3 linked regions of the Oryctolagus cuniculus genome follow. The protein of the gene in region 2 purifies or fractionates together with the protein of the main gene of each other region. This does not show direct contact. Links are inferred from orthologs where the notes say so. Each region holds a gene or a part of one and is shown on either strand. Other genes may lie near its edges.

What was found.
Region 1: the proteins of PTCH1 (region 2) and GRK2 purify together in Homo sapiens (affinity purification with western blotting; 3 studies listed by BioGRID and IntAct, with this or other methods). This does not show direct contact. The link is inferred for Oryctolagus cuniculus from reciprocal best matches to the Homo sapiens genes PTCH1 and GRK2.
Region 3: the proteins of PTCH1 (region 2) and CCNB1 purify together in Homo sapiens (affinity purification with western blotting; 3 studies listed by BioGRID and IntAct, with this or other methods). This does not show direct contact. The link is inferred for Oryctolagus cuniculus from reciprocal best matches to the Homo sapiens genes PTCH1 and CCNB1.

Annotation. Positions count from the first base shown.
Region 1 is NC_091432.1:4,741,595-4,745,238, forward strand, and holds part of GRK2 (beta-adrenergic receptor kinase 1), read right to left. Parts: intron 2,716-3,644; coding exon 2,639-2,715; intron 1,186-2,638; coding exon 1,112-1,185; intron 1,043-1,111; coding exon 941-1,042; intron 860-940; coding exon 785-859; intron 703-784; coding exon 641-702; intron 225-640; coding exon 173-224; intron 1-172. UniProt on the Homo sapiens protein: Specifically phosphorylates the agonist-occupied form of the beta-adrenergic and closely related receptors, probably inducing a desensitization of them. Key regulator of LPAR1 signaling.
Region 2 is NC_091432.1:142,102,778-142,106,421, reverse strand, and holds part of PTCH1 (protein patched homolog 1), read right to left. Parts: intron 3,369-3,644; coding exon 3,059-3,368; intron 1-3,058.
Region 3 is NC_091445.1:90,145,641-90,149,384, reverse strand, and holds the start of CCNB1 (G2/mitotic-specific cyclin-B1), read right to left. Parts: upstream 2,380-3,744; 5' UTR 2,236-2,379; coding exon 2,215-2,235; intron 1,812-2,214; coding exon 1,641-1,811; intron 1,549-1,640; coding exon 1,396-1,548; intron 518-1,395; coding exon 335-517; intron 1-334. UniProt on the Homo sapiens protein: Essential for the control of the cell cycle at the G2/M (mitosis) transition.

The sequences.
Region 1 (3,644 bases), about 140 Mb from region 2:
AAGCATGCCCTGGGCCCACCCCTCAAGCACGCCCTGGCGCCCGCCCCTCAAGCACGCCCTGGCTGCCCGCCCCTCAAGCGTGCCCTGGGCCCGCCCCTCAAGCGCGCCCTGGGCCCGCCCCTCAAGCACGCCCTGGGCCCGCCCCCGCCCCGCCCCCGCCCCGCCCACTCACGTGGATGTTGAGCTCCACGTTCTTCCACTGGCAGAATCGGGTGAACTTCTCACTGGAAGGGAAGCGCCCGGCTCAGGCAGGCTCAGAGAGGGCAGCGCAGCTCGGAGCTGGCGCAAGCCTGCCCCCGCCCCCTGCCCCTGCCGGGGGTCCCGTCGGGTGGGTGTGACAGCGCCCCACGCTTCAGCGTCCTCTTCCGGGGCCGCACAGCTGTGCTGTGGGCTCCTGCCGGGACCAGATAAGCTCAGGCGGCCGCCCACCCAAGACTTCCTGCCACCACGGCCTGCTCGGGGCCCACCCGCCCGTGCCTGCACCTCCGGCCAGAGCCCACTGAGCCGGGCAGATGCTGTGCCCTGCGTCCAGCTGGACTCCGCCTACACCCCCAGCACCCCAGCTCGGGGTGCTCCTCCGGATGCTCACAGCGCCCAGGCTGGCTCCGGCCCCGCCCTCCCATGCCAGCCCCCCACTCACCTCTCGATGAACTTCCGGAACACATCCCCTCGGAGGTTTTGGCAAATCTCTTCGATGTAGGGCTACGGGAGGGGCTGGGGTTGGTGACTGCCCCTCGGGATTGGGGGGGCAGGCCCAGCCCCGCCCCCGGAGTCCAGCACACACCTGGAAGAGGTCCGGAGGCACCTGCTTCTTCACCAGGTGGCCCTGGACGTGCTCGGTGGCACTCTTGGAGAAGGGCTGGGGGGACAGAGGCGGCCGTGAGCCCTCGCAGGGCCTCGCCCTCCCTCGCCCACCCGCGGGCCGGCCGGGGCCACTCACGTGCGAGCAGGCCAGCAGCTCCTTCATGATGTACGAGTCAAAGATCTCCCGGCTGCGGGCCACGCGCTCCTCCTCCGTCTCCAGCTTCTCATACTTCCTGATCTGGGGGTGGGGGGGTCTCGTGAGTCCCCCGGGGCGGCCCCGCCCCCTCCCCGGGCAGGCCCACCGCACCTCCTCGTAGAACTCCACCAAGGGCCTGGCCTCCTCCAGATGGTTCAGGCAGAAGTCTCGGAACAGCAGGTACCCTGGAAGCGAGCGCGTGGGGTGCCAGTGAGCCACAGCGCTGCTGCAGACGGCGTGGGGGGGCCCCCTGGATCAAAGTGGCCAAGGGGACAGCAGAGGCGGTGCCGCCACCCTGAAGGCCCCTGGACTCCAGGCTGGGCGGGGCCCCGTGCTTGCACAGGGGCAGGCGGCAGGCCTGGGCCCCGCCCCCCATGCAGTCCAGCAGCCTGACCACCCACGGCGAGGCTGGGGTGTGCAGGTACAGAGGCCGAGGTCCCGTCTGGGGGCCTGAGCCAAGTCAGGCTGCGCCCCTCTCCCCGACCTCGCTCCCTCTGTCATCGGGGTCATCCTCACGGCAGCCCAGAGGAACAGGCAGTGAGGGCAGGTTGGGTAAACTGAGGCACAGGGAGCCCTGTCAATCACAAGGCACGTGCCGAGGTGACCGGCGGCTGGTCACCGGGAAGGACAGGCCAAAGGGTGATGGTCTCTGTGCCAGGGGCATGGGAGGGTGAAGGGACAGGATGGGCCGCAGGAGGTCCTGGACAGGACGTCCTCACCCCCCCCCCCCCCCCCCGCGCAGGCCCCTGAGCAGCTGCCCGGGACAGGCAGGGCTGAGGGCAGCCCCGCCCCCTCAGGGGCATCCGGCCCACAGGGCGACTCGGTTTGTGCTGGGGACTTCCTGTGCCTCTGGGGGCCGTGGCCGGTGCCGTCCACACCCTCCACCGCCTGGGCACCTCCATCAGGACTTGTGGCCAGCATTTCTGGCAAGGGCAGCCGGGCCTTTCAGTGGAGCCCTGGGGTAAGCTGTGGCCGGCTTCCTGGAACGGCTGACACCACCTGATCCGACCCCGGGTCCTTGGCAGTGGGGGGGGGGGGGGCTGAGTCCCATTCCCAGGGGATGTCATCATCGGGCTCAGAGAGGTGAAGCGCCGTGCCCAGGGTCACACAGCACGGGACTGGGAACTCGAGGGAGTGCCCCCGACCCCGCCAGCTGCCCTCCACACTCCATCCTGCCCAGGACCCCCGGTTCAGAGCCGGGGTCTTCGGGGAGAGGCCAGGGCGGAGCTGTGCCAGGCTGGAGCCGCAGCCCCGAGGGCGGCCGCACAATGCTCCCCAGACCCGCACAGGCCCCGGGGAGGAAGCCGGCGGCAGCCGGGCCAAGGCAGGGTGCTGCGAGGGCCCGTGGGGGCGGGGCGGGCTGGCCACAGCGGCAGGCCCACAGGAAGGGCCCCGCCTCTTCCTGCCAGTCCTACCAACCGCCCAGAGCAGCTGCGGCCGCGCCAGGGGAAGCTGCAACTCTCAAAAACAAAAACCTCAAGGAGGAACTTCCCCGGCGACCCTGGAGGACGGCCGGGCCCCACCCCCACCACGGGGCTCCGCGGACACAGGCACGAGGGGTCACAGCCCGCCACAGGGCTGCCTGGCTGTGGGGATGCTCCCAGCCCCGGCCGCAGGGGTCTGGGCTGCGGCACTCACCCAGCTTCTGGGAGAAGATCTTCTCAAACGTCACCTCGCCCCGGTCCTCCAAGTACTTCTGCATGACACTGCGGATGCTGCGGGCAGAGGGGCACGGTGGGCGGGGCCCAAAGCACAGCCAGCGGGGGTCGGGGTGGGGCGGGGGGCTCCGCGGGAGCCTGAGCCTGCACGCCAGGGCTCCGGCCCCAAAGGCCAGGGTGGCCAGCAGGTGGCCTCCCGCTGCCACGCGCTGGCTTTGGGAACTCGGCCAGGCCTCACGCACCAGGGGACAGGCAGGCACACGTGGTGGCTGCCCCCCCAAGGGTCCCGCGCCGGCACAGGCCGGCACACGCATGGACAGAGCCTGGAAGCGTGATGCGGCCGCCGGAGCAGGCAAGCCCGGGGACGGTGGACAGCAGCTTCGTGGTGGCCGGGCTGCGGGGTGGGGGCGCGATCGCCACAGGGGCAGGGCTCCATCCGGGGTGCGTTTGTACAGAGACCCCCCAGCTGCACGCGGCAGGTGCTGAGTGTCCTGTCTTACGAATTATACCGCAACTTAGGGAGAAGCACTTAACCATTACAGAAAAGCCAAGCCTCAGCCGGAGCGTCTCTCACGCCAGGAGCTGGCCTTGCAGCGCAGCGGGTAAAGCCGCCGCCTGGGCCGGCTCCGCGGCTCACTAGGCTAATCCTCCGCCTTGCGGCGCCGGCACACCAGGTTCTAGTCCCGGTCGGGGTGCCAGATTCTGTCCCGGTTGCCCCTCTTCCAGGCCAGCTCTCTGCTGTGGCCAGGGAGTGCAGTGGAGGATGGCCCAAGTGCTTGGGCCCTGCACCCCATGGGAGACCAGGAAAAGCACCTGGCTCCTGGCTCCTGCTATCGGATCAGCGCGGTGCGCCGGCCGCAGCGCGCTGGCCGCGGCGGCCATTGGAGGGTGAACCAACGGCAAAGGAAGACCTTTCTCTCTCTCTCTCTCACTGTCCACTCTGCCTATCAAAAAAAAAAAAAAAAAAAAAAGCCGCCGCCTGGCAT
Region 2 (3,644 bases):
TAAACAGGAGAGGAGAAACAACCGCTCCCTCCCCCCAGACCCCTAAAAGGGAGGCCTGGCCTGTTTTCTTCTCCATAAAAGAATTTTCATCACTTCCTGATTTCCCTGGTCCTTTCTGAATCCCAAGGGCAGCTCACGCACAGAGAGCCCCTGACGATCCCATGAGTGGTTTTGCATTCCCACTCTACAGATGAGGAAACTGAGGCCAGAAAGGTGAGGTTCTGAAATGTCGGAGCTGGGCTTAAACCAGGCAGGCCGATGCCAGGGCTGGCACAAACTGCTCAGTGCCCCGGATGCACCGTGGTGCCCAAGAAGCACTCACTGACGACATGTACAAGCTTAACAAAGTTAACTCAGGCACCCACAACATCCGGGGCCAGAGGGTCCCCAGAATCCAAGGGCTGTTTTAAGGCATTTTCCAAGACTTTTGGGACACCACGGACTTGTCATAGAAAGGAAGAAAGACCAGAGCTGGATAGGGCAACCCTGCAGGCGACTTGGTCAAAACTCATTACCAACACGCTTCACTGCAGGTTCCAAGATGACCAAGAGCGAGCTCTCGACTTTACGCCAACATCCAGGACCTTGCAGGGTTATTTTCACATTTTCTGATCAGCGACAAGAAAGCTCAAGGGACAACAGGCTGACCTAGGTGCATGCACTGAGCCTGGACCCAGAACGAGAGGTGACCGTGGGCTGCCAGCAAAAGACTGCGATTCTACTCAGTTTACTGCAAAACCTTATAACCACAGCTGGAGCGTCTCTCATTATAAATAATGTGTACTAAAAACTAGTTTCTGGCATACAGTTCTGGCTTAAGGAATTATCCCAATTGTCCATTTTTTTTTTTTTCAAATGTAGGATCCTAAAGAGAAAATGTTCCTCCAAATTCCATTTGTGAAATTCAATGAGAAATATAAATGAATGGCATTTGCACAGGTGTACAGCATGGCTTTCTCCCTCTAACATCTTCTCATTTGCATGCATGGTCCAAGATGTCACACAGGTTATTTCTATGAGTGAACTCAAACACTGCTATGATGTTGATCAAGACCAATGAGGTGACACGGTTTGAATGGTGATTCCACTAAAAAAACCAAAGAGGCTTCCATCACTGAACCACCACTGGAAATCGTCTGGCAGGGAAGCTGACTCCAGGCTAATTTCTTCCTGGGAGGAAATGTTCACAGACCAAGCCAACCACGCAAGAAGCCTAAAGGATGGGTAAGCAGCCAAGGGCCCCCGGATCTGATCTGGGTGTAGGGAGTCCTGAGCACACAGGTCCAGTTGCTCCACTTAACAATCTAAACGTGATTCAAATGCATCTGAAAAAAATAAAAGGATTTTCAAGCCCAATCGCCACGTTGTTGGACTTGGGCCGCCAAGGGCCGGCTCTGGTGCTTGGGACTGGCGTCACCCAGCAGGTCTTTGTCACTGGTGGCACATTACTTGCATGATTTGGTCAATGAAATGAAAACCAAGGAATCTCTGGTTCTTTCCTGACTCATGACCCAAAAGCCATTGCTTTCAAAACTAAGTGTAAAAAAGTTAACACTTGGAACACATTCAAGTCAGTCTGATGAGCAGGCTGCGTGACGATAATCACGGCACACAATATTCTCTTCACCTTCCACCACACATCAGCCAAATCTGGCATGTACATTTGGAAAAAAAATCCTAGGAACCTTAAGTAAAGGCCAGATACCATACTGAACCATTTTTGGTCAGACTCAACTTGTTTGCCACATCATGCAAGCTCACATGGAAACTGCTTAATCTTTACAATCAAATTGTGTATTGACTTAAGAAAGACCAAAAAAAAAAAAAAAAAAAAGGGCACTTAAATCTGTATTTAAACAAGGCTAATTAAGTGGGAAATTAAGACAATCATTTGGATAATCTCAGCCAAAAAAAATGTTGGGGCCATAATTATTTGGGTATTCCAGTAAAAGCATCATTGCTTGAACTGTGTGGATAATTATCCCAAGTCTCTCCTTCACCGTGCATGTGTCAACACAGAATAAATGAACAGATGTTCTTGGAATCACAGAACACGTTTGTGTTCAGTCAGCAGTCAGGAGCGGATTTAGACAATTCTGTTCTTCTCCAGTTGACTAGCATTTCCTAGAAACGTTTCTAAGAGCAAGATAAGAAGCCAAGAAAGGCATTTAGGACAGGATTTGATGATTTATGACCTAATGTGAAGTGTGATCAAGCATTTATCAATTGACTTCACTTGCCAAATCCAAGATGGTTAAAAGGAAGTTGAATGCACACGATGGGCTCTGGGGTGACTGATAATGCAGCCTCAGTGTAGGTTCCTGGATTGTGACAAATGCCCCTTCTGATGGAGGACTGCTTATGGCAGAGGGGGGCTGTGCATGGGACAGATGGAGAGCGCTCCTTGCACTCAGATTGTACTGTGCACCCAAAACTGCTCTAAAAATCTAGTCTGTTCAAATATAAATGAGGGGCTGGCTTTGTGCAGTGGGTTAAGCCACTGTCTGTGACGTCGGCATCCCATAGTGCAGCACCAGTTCCAGTCCTGGCTGCTCTGCTTCTGATCCAGCTCCCTGCTAATGTGCCTGGGAAGGCAGCAGAAGATGGCCCAAGTACTTGGACCCCTGCCATCCATGTAGGAGACCTGGATGGAGCTCTTGGCTCCTGGCTTTGGCCCGGCCCAGCTCAGACTGCTGTGGCCATTTGGGGAGTGAACCAGTGGATGGAAGACCTCTTTTTCTCTATCTCCATCAGTCTGCCATTCAAATAGATGTCACCAAACAGGCCACCAGCCCGAAGGACAAGAGCAACAGAAGTCATTTGGCTCCTTATTTTATAACATGATTGTCCCCCCTTTCCTAACATGTACCCACAAATTCTTACGGAAGTTCCTGGGTTCCAAGCAACACTTGGAAGTCTGTGAAAACGTGTCAGCGTGACACTATGACCCAACACTTTAGTAACAGGGACAAAAGGAGCAGACGGAAGCCCAACGCACAACAGAATGCGGGGCGCTGTGGATGATGGCCGAGAGGCCCCACCCCGGGCTGTGTCTTACCCTGCAGCCAGTCCCTGAAGTAATGCAGCCACATTTTGGGAAGCTGCTTGTTCTCCTCCAACATGATGTACTTCACGTTACTGAAGCTCTTGTGCAGGTCGTACAGCAAGTGCTGGATGTTCGGGTAGTCGGCCTTCTGCGTGACCACGTACATGTTGTAGAAAGAGAAGTATTTGAACTGCGCGGCGATGAAGTCGTACTCTCTGGTCTCCCGAGGGACGATGTCTGTGAGGTCCAGCCCGTCCCTCACTCGGGTGGTCCCGTACAGGCTGACCCCCAGCAGGCCCAGGAAAAGGAAGATCACCACGACCTGCAACACAGGGAAAGGCACGCGGTCAGACCCCACAGGACCAGCACCGAGTCTTCCTTGAAGAGGCCGGGGTGGGCTCCGCACGGACACGGATGCTTGCTGCAGGAGACGGGACCCCTGTGGAAGCTGAGCTCACTCACACGGCCCCAACCCCTCAATGCACTGCGTCTTTTGGGAGGCACGACGTCGTTGATCACGCTTTAATGCATTTCCCTCCCTGAGCCACCTGCCGACCTGCTGGGCCGCAGGCAGACAGCAGCAGAGCCTCAGGCTGTT
Region 3 (3,744 bases), on a different chromosome or scaffold from region 2:
GCAGACGGCCCAAGCCCTTGGGCCCCTGCACCCACGTGGGAGACCCGGAGGAAGCTCCTGGCTCCTGGCTTCAGATCAGCACAGCTCCAGCCGTTGCGGCCATCTGGGGTGAACCAGCGGACGGAAGATCTCTCCCTGTCTCTACCTCTCTCTGTAACTTTCAAATAAATAAAATCTTTCTTATTTGTAAGCTTTCAAATAAATAAATCTTAAAAAAAATAGAAACAAAGAAATACTGCCTATATCCTGCTTGAATTACTATGGACTGTTGATAGAAAAACATCTTTAATAAAGCTAGCTGTTGTTTGGGAAAAAACAGTCCAGCAATACTGACCTCAAGCTGTCGCAGGTATGCATAGATATCCTTCACATACTCGCTACAAAGGTTTGGATCAGCCCCATCCTCTGCGTCCACATCACTCACTGCAAGAATCACGTCCGAGAACGCCTGACACAGATACTCCTCTGCAGGCGCACATGCGGACGTCTCCATCGGGCTTGGGGAGGGAGTATCAACCTGGAACAGAGACATGTCTTAAGCAACAGCAAAGAGGAGCACATGCCACGACTGGGAATGGAGATCAGACAACTGACGTATAATTCAGTTCCTTAATGGAAAAGTATCTTTCCAGATGTATTATATTTTTTAGGAAGTGATATCAAAAGTGAAACATCAACTTAGACTTAGCCAAGTTAAAGTCAGCAGAACATAAACACTAACAGGTGAAAGAGAAGCAAATAAATCGCGTCCTAGACTTTCCTCCAAAGGAAACGGTTAGGTAATGAACCTAACCGTTATATCACCATTATACGACACCTATGTATGTGAACCTACCACCATCATATGAAATCAATCCAAATAAAAGACATTGGTTTTGTATTGCTAAAAAACATGGACTGCTTCTCACTACTCAGAATACAAGTTCTGTCCTGACTACCAGAAATTAACTGATTTTCATTACTAGTTACCATTTCCTTCTAGCCATCTTTACCCCATTGTTCAAACACTTTCCAAGCGCATTTTTCAAGTCAGACTCTGTACTAAGCGTTGACTTAATGGCATCCCCAAAGGGCTTTGAGTTTAGTATAGACAAATAAGGTGACCGAGTCCAGGAACAGGAGTGGGGGTGGGGGAGGACAGGAAAAACTTCAGGAGCTGATGCTTGAGCTGTTTCGAGGGATGAAGGCAAAGGACGCCTGGACCGAGACTGGACATGTAGACGGCGGGCGTTTCCTGTGAAGACTGTGTGCATGTAAAGGCCGTGTGAGTCCGTGCCTGCCTGGTGCTCCGCACAGCCTGCTTCCTGGGACGCACTCACTACTTGCTACTGTCACTGTTTATTCAAATGCTATCCCAAGCAATCAACAGCCTCTAAACGGGTAGAATGCATTTACCAGAATCGGCTCAGGCGAGAGTTTTTCTTCTTTAACAGGCTCAGCTTCGGGCTCGGGCTCCGGCTCCGGCTCAGATGCCGGTACAGTCACCGTTTCCAAAGGTTTAGGGAGTTTTTTAGCAGGGATTTTCCCAGTAGGTAGAGTTTTGGCTTCCTGCAGACGAGAGAGAGAACGGATGCCCCTGCGCAGGCCAGGGCTGGGGGTGAGGGGTGGGGGGTGGGGGCGGGAGGCGGAGGGGCGGCTACCTTCTTCAGAGGCACTTTGGCCTGGAGCTGCTCGCTGACTTTGTTACCAATGTCTCCCAGGGCCGTTCTGGGCCTCAGCCCGGGCTTGCAGGCTGCAGCGGTGGCCACAGGCACACGCTTGGCGCCTGCCATGGTCATCTTCCCCTTGTTTTCCACGTTAATTTTCGTGTTCTGAAAGAGGCAAGTCAACCGCGGGATAATGAAGGTGGGCCACAAGAGAGGCGGCTCTTCGCAGGGCGGGGCACTGGGCACGGGTTCGAGCGGGGAACAAGGGCTCCAGGGTCCGGCCCACGGCCCCAGCAAGTCCGCTTCCTCCCAGAACCCCCTCGTTCGCCAACCCAGGGGCTTCCAATGAAGTGCCGGCCAGCCCCAAGACATCCGAATTTACATCTGAAAGGAAACCGAAAGGCCCCGCTCCGGGCTCCCCAGGGCCCTCTCTCCAGCCCCAAACCTCCCGGACCTCCGCGGCCCCCTGCCTCCCTCTGGGCCGGCCCCGGGCTCCCCACCACTCCCGGGGCGCCGGCCCGGCCCGCGCCAGGGCCCCCTGACGCCGAGCAGGCAAGCCGCCACTCACCCTGGTGACGCGGAGCGCCATGGCTTCCTCCTCGACAGGCGGCGGGCGGCGGGCACACGCAGCACACCGGAGGCCCCGACCCGTCGCGGACCAGAAGCCTCCACAAGCCAACAGCCGGCCGTTCCTGCGCAGCACGCCGGGAGGCGCCGGCCCCTGCTCAGGTTTAAACCCCGCTCCGCTCCTCCTCATTGGCCGGTTCGCGGCACTCGCTCCCTCCGCATTGGCGGGCGCCGGGGCCGGGAGAATGCGTTTCCAGGGCGACCGCGCGAGGACGTTCGAGAGGGGGCGGGCGCAGAGCGCGGCCGCGGCGGGCCCCTCCCGGCTCCCACGTGACCGGGCTGCGGCCCGCGGGCGCCCGGGGCAGCGGGGCAGCGGGGCAGCGGGGCGGGAGGGCGCGGCTGGGCTGCCGGAGCGGAGCCGCGGAGCCTTGGCCTTGAGCTGCGACGGGGGTCGGGGGAGGGCGGTGCGCGGTGCCCGCAGCGGGTGAAGCAGCTCCGGCTGCAGTCCAGCGTGGCGGTGCACGCGGTCTGCCTCCACGGTGGCAGCGGGGATTCCTTCGGGCTAACCACAGGCTTTCATGGCCGTGCGTGCCCTGAGGTGACCATTGCAGCGGCCCTCGGGGGTGGACGGCGCTGAAGCCCGGGGACCCGGCGACTTTCGCCGCGCGGGGCCGGAACTCAGGGGTGTTTGGGTGACCGTGGTTTGCTTTTGCCTTTCTTTGTGGAGCTGTGATTTTTTTTCTTCCCACGACTTTGTCTCTCAAGAATGCCCGCCTCGGGGCTGATGGGTCCAGCTGGAGAGGCCACCGCCCATCTCGCCTGCTGCCCAGGCTGGGCCAGCCCCGGGCCTGGGCCCTGCCACCCATGCGGGACACCAGGATGGAGTTCCCATACGGTTTTCCTTCAGACATTTGTGGAATGACCAGCAGGTGGAAGATAACTGCTGCCTCTCCCTCTCTGTGTGTGTCACTCTGCCTTTCAAATAAGTAAAAAAATGTGAAGAATGTCAACTTGCCATATTGCTTCTGATTAGTTGGTTTTTGAAAGCTTGCGTGGTTTCCCAAAGCCAGTCGCTTTGCTTTTTATTTGGAAAAAATATCCTATCCAACAGCTGTAAACACCCAATTATAAGGAACATCCCTGCACCCTTTACCCAGATTTAACTGTCATTAACATTTTTTTAAGATTTATTTATTTTATTTGAAAGGCAGAATTACAGACAGAGGCAGAAGCAGAGAGAGAGAGAGAGGTCTTCCATCCGCTGGTTCACTCCCCAGATGACTGCAATGGCCGGAGCTGCACTGATCTGAACCAGGAGCCAGGGACTTGGGCCATCTTCCACTGCTTTTCCAGGCACATTAGCAGGGAACTGGATCAGAAGTAGAGCAGCCAGGACGCGAACTGGCACCCAGATGGGATGCTGGAACTGCAGGTAGCAAGTGCTGGCCCCTTTGTTAGACCTTATCCCATATGCTTTGTCATGTGATCGGCTTCTCTGTGGTGCCAAAGAAAACAAACAGGTCCTTTTTGC